Linked DNA regions of Coturnix japonica. The protein of the gene in region 1 interacts with the protein of each later gene in a pairwise test. Links are inferred from orthologs where the notes say so. Each region holds a gene or a part of one and is shown in the gene's direction. Other genes may lie near its edges.

Region 1 (3,757 bases):
TCTCTAAAGGTAGATCAAGGGAAAACTGCAAAGGCTGTGGCTAAGAAATGTTTCTGTAGAACTGCTAGCTTCAGAAAAAGCCTTACATTTTGCACGTGTGCTTGTGAGAAAGAAAGATGAAGGTTGCCCTGATTTTGCTTAATGAGATTCTGAATTTATCATCTAAGCTTCATCAACTCTAAAAAATGAGTTACACTGTACTGTATCTGCAGGTACTTCTCCTGACTCATCTTCATCCTTTATAATGCCTTTACAATGAGTTCATAAATGTGTCTTTCAAAGCTTCTAGATGAGTACCTGCAAGCAGGTTAGAACAGCACAAAATGCTTAAGTGCTGAATAAACTTTTTATCTTTTTACATGAGGTGGGAGAGGAAAAGAAGCATTCAGAAATGAGAGTTAAATACTGCCGTCATCTGACTGTGCTCACCTGGATTATCGTCCCGGATCGATGCCTTCAGCAGCCCCTTGGCATCTTCTGAGCTCCAAGGACTGACAACCTTCAGCCCCGGGCAGTGCCCGTACCAGGCAGCGAAGCACTGCGAGTGCTGTGCGGCAACGCCAGCTGAAGCCCCGTTGGGGCCACGGAACACGATGGGGACGGCGATGGTTCCTGCAGACATGTAGCACGTCTTGGCAGCAGAGTTGATAACCTGGTCGATTGCTTGCATGGAGAAGTTGAACGTCATGAATTCACACACCGGCCTCAACCCCGCCTATCAGAGTTAGACCATACGATATGTTTTAACACCAAAGCAGCTCGTTTTGTACATCAGTTCATTAGGACTGAGGGCGTACTGACCATTGCGGCACCAACGGCGATTCCTGCGAAGCCCATCTGGAAGAGGAGCAAACAGCATTAAGCGCCACAGCTCGGCCCACGGGGAGCCCTGTGGGGGGAGCCCCGCGCCGTACCTCGGAGATGGGGGTGTCGATGATCCTCTTGTCCCCGTATTTCTTCCACAGCCCCCTGGAGATCTGAAAGGATCGGAGCGGTGTCAGCCCCCGCACAGCCCGCACTGCGGCCCCGGCAGGGCCCCCCCTCCCTCACCTTGTAGGCACCGTCGTACTGTGCCACCTCCTCGCCCAGCATGAACACACGCTCATCCCGCTCCAGCTCCTCGTCCAGCGCCTGGTTCAGCGCGTCCCGCACCGTCACCTGCGGGAAGCGGCAGCCGGGCAGTGCTGGGCAGGGCAGGGCGGCCGTCCCTCGGCTCACCCGCACCACCCCGCCCGTACGGATGAACCCCCCGCCCCAGCTCCATCCTCACGGCCCGTACCTGGATGGCGGCGGGCGCGGAGAGGTGGAAGCCTCTGCGTGGCGAGAGAAGGCGGCCTCGCGGCACCAGCAGCCGCAGCGCTCCCGCCGCCGCCGCCATCTTGGCCGTGTCCTCTATAGCACCGGGCAACGGCCCGGCCCCCGCGCTACCTCGGCCCCTGCCTGAACTCTCGCGAGAACTGGCGCTGGCAGCCAGCGCTCTTTTTATGCGTCACTTCCGGTCTCGCGCTGTGGTGGCGGTGAGGCCGTGCCGCGCTCGGTGCTGCTCGCATGGCGCCGCTCGGGGCGCGATCAACGCGGCATCGCCTCCTGCCGCCGGGACCGCACCGCCCCCACCGCCCCCCTTCATCTGTGTGCCCCTCTTCAGTGACACAACTGCCCGCCAAGGAGGCGTGGGGCGGAGCGAGGTGTCCCCACTGTCGGCCCTGAGGTGAAAGGAGGCGGCTTCCCTCCCTCACCCGAGCGGAGCGGGCGGAGACACGGGGAGGGGATCGCGGCAGAACCCGCCCCCGCTCCTCCCTCCTCGGCGGCTGCTTCGCTCCCGGTTCAGTCGCCCCCATCATCGCCGGGCTCTGCTTCAGCGCCGGGACCTGCGACTGTGAGTGTGAGGAGGGGCGGGGCCGGGCCGGGCCGGGCCGGGCTGTGCTATGCTATGCTATGCTATGCTGTGCTGTGCTGTGCTGTGCTGTGCTGTGCTGTGCTGTGCTATGCTGTGCTGTGCTGTGCTGTGCTGCTGTGGGGGGTGGGAGGGAAACACGGGGCTGTGAGCGGCCGGAGGCTGCACTGGGGGGGGGGAAACGGGGCTGGGCCCCCTGTGGGACTGCGGGTACCTGGGGCTGGGGGCTGCCGGGCCCCGTTTGGGATGTTGTGAGGCTGTACCCGGCCCTCAGTTCGAACAGGGGCTGCCCCTCGCTGCAGGAGGGCCGGGCTGGGGCCGGGAGCGGTATCCAGGCGATGGGCACTTGGGGGCAGCGGGTGGAGCGGTGCAGTCGTGTCCAGCATCCTTTGCTGAATCATTGCGATCTCAGGGGGAGATTTCCTTCCGTGCGTTCCTCTGGGATGGAAAGCGGCTGTTCCCGACTCCTCCTGTGGGCCTGGGTTTGAAGGGACGATTCTTGTCACCATCCTGCTGCTTGGTCCCTGTGTCAGCACTGTTGGCTGTGCAGGATGTGCTCCTGACACCTGCCTTCATCCAGCACTGCTGGGAGATGTTTCCCCATGCACACAGCTGCCTGCTGGTGCCATGGAACAAGATACGTGGGTAAAACCAACTACTGACACTGTGCAGAGTGACTGTGTGGTGCCAGCAGGAGCAGGGCAGGTGCAGTTGCAGTCCTTGGACTCCTGCATGAGGAGGGTCAAATGGTGATGTGGGATTTTCAAGCATCTGGCAGATGGAGCTTCAGAACCCAGTCCCAAACTGAGATGTTGTATTGTTCCTCAGGTGTGGGAAAGAAACTTTCAGAGCTTGGAATTCATAGTGAAGCAATTAGGCATAAAGGAGCGAGAATGCTGAGTGGCCACTGTTGGTGTTTTGCTCTCTTGCCTGAGGTGAAGGCTGAAATATTAACCAAAAGAAGCAGAGAAAATAAGGAGAAGTTACGTTCTAATAAACTGTGTTAATCATTGTAAACTTGACGTGTGTAGGTGAGGGATTCATCCTTTAGCAATGCCAAGCTGTGGTATTACCAGAAGTTTTGGTAAGCGGTTGTTTCCATAGCATAGTTTGTTGCTTGGGGTAGCTCAGCACTGTATGGCCTTGGGTTTGCTCTGCAGACTATTGCCTTGCTCTGCAGTTCTGTGGAAGGCAGTCGTTAATTACACTGGCTGAAGGACTGTCGATTCAGGTGAGTCACTGGTAATGATTTGCAATAAAAACTTGCCTTCACATTTTAAGACTGGCTCAGGATTAGAGAGGCTGTCCATTGACAGTGTGGCTACTGAGAGCAGGAGTTTCATTTTCTCATCTTTGGAGATCTTAATGTCAGAGACAGTGAGCTCGCTAAGTGGGAGAGCAGCATGAACCGCAGGTATTTATCTGTATAAATACCAGACTGGCTTAGTAGAAGTCCTGTCAACTTTATATTGACCTTGGAGTCTTCAGTACATATTGAGACTAAACAGTTTGTGTAGACCGTAAACAGTTTGTGTCCTTCCCTTTGAGCAAGGTAGCTGAGAAGCATTCAGAGCAGCTCAGATGCCGTGTGCCTTTTGACTTGTGACTGCTAGGTGCGTTTCTGCTCCTCCTTCATCTGCCTGCATAGGATGGTACAACTGCTGTGTTCTATCCAAGTGCAGTGTGTGCAGTCTGTGCCCAGGGCCAAGTGTGCTGTATTCAGTCCCAGCAGTGCAAACACTTGGCAGTGCTGCTGACATCCCCTGCCTCTGTCCTGGATGTGTGTTCACAGATGCAGATGTTCAGCCCGCTCTCATTTGCTTTCTTTGAATTTCAGCTTTTAAAATAGTTGCATGTTAGCAG
Region 2 (2,158 bases), on another chromosome or scaffold:
CTGCAGTGTACTGGGATACTCACACCTCCATGCCCCTCCTGGGGCACCCCCAGTATGGCATGCAGCTCTACCGCAACTACCAGCAAGCACAGGCGCGCCTGAGCCAGCACCCCTGGATCACCCCCACACCTCTGGTGAGTGCCCCCCACCCCCTCCAGCTGCAGCCCTGACCCATGGGGAGCCCCCCCTCCTCTAAGCTCGCTGTCACTGTCCCCACAGCAGAGCGTGTCAGACAGCGCGCTGGTGGCCATGGACTTCTCAGGGTGCACAGGGCGGGTGATTGAGAACCCCAGCGAGGTGCTGACAGCGGTGCTGGAGGAGGCGCAGGCCTGGAGGGTGAGTGGGGGGCACAGGCTGGGAGTGGGACCCCTCCTCACTGTGTGCTCACTCTGCTGCTTGCTTTGCACGGACAGAAGAAGACAACGCACCGGTACAGCCTGCCTGCTGCCTGCCAGAGCTCCCCACTCAGTGCTGGTGAGCAGCGCCCATAGGGGAGGAGCATGGAGACCCCCACTATGAGGGTCCCTGCTTGGAGTGGGTGGGGGTCCCTTCTGATGACCCTCTCCTCTGCCCGCAGCCATCCATCGCACCCAGCCGTGGTTCCACGGACGCATCTCACGGGAGGACACCCAGCAGCTCATTGGCCGCCAGGGGCTGGTGGATGGGTACAGAACTGGGGGGGTTGTAGAGGGGATCAGGGACCCCTGAGGTGCACACAGCCCCTGGGGGGCCACAGGGTCCCACAGCTCATAGAGGGTTTACAGGGGGTATAGGGAGGTCCTGGAGCCAGGGAGGTGGGTGGTGGGGAATAGGATCCCAAGGTGGAGGGAGACAGAGGGGTCACACAGGGTCCCTTGGGGCTTTGGGGTGACTCTGCTCTGGGGCTCACAGCGTGTTCCTGGTGCGGGAGAGCCAGCGTAACCCCAAGGGCTTCGTGCTGTCCCTGTGCCACCTGCAGAAAGTCAAGCACTATCTCATCCTGCCAGTGAGTATCATGGCTGTGGGAGGAATATGGGGGGGTGGGGGCACAGCCGGGCCTGATGCTCACCTGTCTGGCAGAGTGAGGAGGAAGGGCGGCTCTACTTCACCATGGACGACGGACAGACCCGCTTTGCTGACCTCATCCAGCTCGTGGAGTTCCACCAGATCAACCGTGGCATCCTGCCCTGCAAGCTGCGGCACTACTGCACCTGCGTGGCCCTATGAGCCCGGCGCTGCTGGCACGGCTCAGCACAGCTCAGCATGGCACCATGCATTGCTGCCATAGGTTGGCACAGCTCGGCACCATGCAGCAGTGCTGGCACAGCTCGACACAGTCAACACGGTGCAGCACGTCCCTGCCAGCGCACCAGGGCACCACTCGCAGCAGTGAGCGCAGGAGGGGCCGGGGGGCTCACCCCACACCCCACTGCTGTGGCCCCTCACACTCTTGCACTTTGTCCCCCCCAGCACCAGCCCCTCCTTCTCATGGGGTCATGGCTGCAGACCCCTCATCCCCATCTCCAGGGGGCTCATGGAGATGCTCCCTCCCAATCAGGAGGATGAGGGGCTTGGGGTCCCCACCACATCTCCCCATGAACCCCCCCCCAACCCAAGGCCAGTCGAACTGTGATGTGTTTTATACAAAGTGAGAATAAACGTTATTTTTTCAGAGCTCCCGTTTCTCCCCTTTCCATTGCCATCCTCACACCATGCCGGGGGGGTCAGCCCCATTGCATGGCAGCAGCACCCCCACACTGCCATGTCCCTGCAGTGCCCCCCGGTGCCACACAAAGGCCCCTCTGTGCACCACGTGCAGCTCAGCCACGCGGCCCCATAAATCCCAGAGCTGGGGAGGATTAGTGGGGAGGGGGGATTAGAGCTGGGATTTGGGGCCAGTAGCTATTAAAGCCATGAGGTGGGTGGTGAGGCCGTGGCCATGGCTCCCCGCACCGTGCTGATCACCGGCTGCTCATCCGGCATCGGGCTGGCGCTGGCGGTGCGCCTGGCACGGGACAAGCAGCGCCGCTTCCGAGGTGAGCAGAACAGGGGGTCCCAATGGTGTAAATGGGGAGGGTGGGGGGCTGATCCCTCCTGTGCCCCCCCTCAGTCATTGCCACGGTGAGGAACGTGTCCCGCAGTGGAGCGCTGGTGGAGGCAGCGGGGTCAGCGCTGGGCC

The links.
Region 2: the proteins of KCTD6 (region 1) and GRB7 interact in binary tests that used the Homo sapiens proteins (3 or more experiments, as listed by UniProt). The two-hybrid records come from large-scale screens. The link is inferred for Coturnix japonica from reciprocal best matches to the Homo sapiens genes KCTD6 and GRB7.

Annotation. Positions count from the first base shown.
Region 1 is NC_029527.1:9,337,122-9,340,878, forward strand, and holds the start of KCTD6 (BTB/POZ domain-containing protein KCTD6), read left to right. Parts: upstream 1-1,516; 5' UTR 1,517-1,876; intron 1,877-2,223; exon of another isoform or gene 2,224-3,125; intron 3,126-3,757. Other genes in the region: PDHB (pyruvate dehydrogenase E1 component subunit beta, mitochondrial), read right to left, coding at 430-715, 802-837, 915-977, 1,051-1,158, 1,280-1,378. UniProt on the Homo sapiens protein: Probable substrate-specific adapter of a BCR (BTB-CUL3-RBX1) E3 ubiquitin-protein ligase complex mediating the ubiquitination and subsequent proteasomal degradation of target proteins.
Region 2 is NC_029542.1:3,938,128-3,940,285, forward strand, and holds the end of GRB7 (growth factor receptor-bound protein 7), read left to right. Parts: intron 1-53; coding exon 54-134; intron 135-219; coding exon 220-336; intron 337-413; coding exon 414-474; intron 475-577; coding exon 578-665; intron 666-891; coding exon 892-985; intron 986-1,059; coding exon 1,060-1,206; 3' UTR 1,207-1,656; downstream 1,657-2,158. Other genes in the region: RDH8 (retinol dehydrogenase 8), read left to right, coding at 1,919-2,015, 2,090-2,158. UniProt on the Homo sapiens protein: Adapter protein that interacts with the cytoplasmic domain of numerous receptor kinases and modulates down-stream signaling. Promotes activation of down-stream protein kinases, including STAT3, AKT1, MAPK1 and/or MAPK3. Promotes activation of HRAS.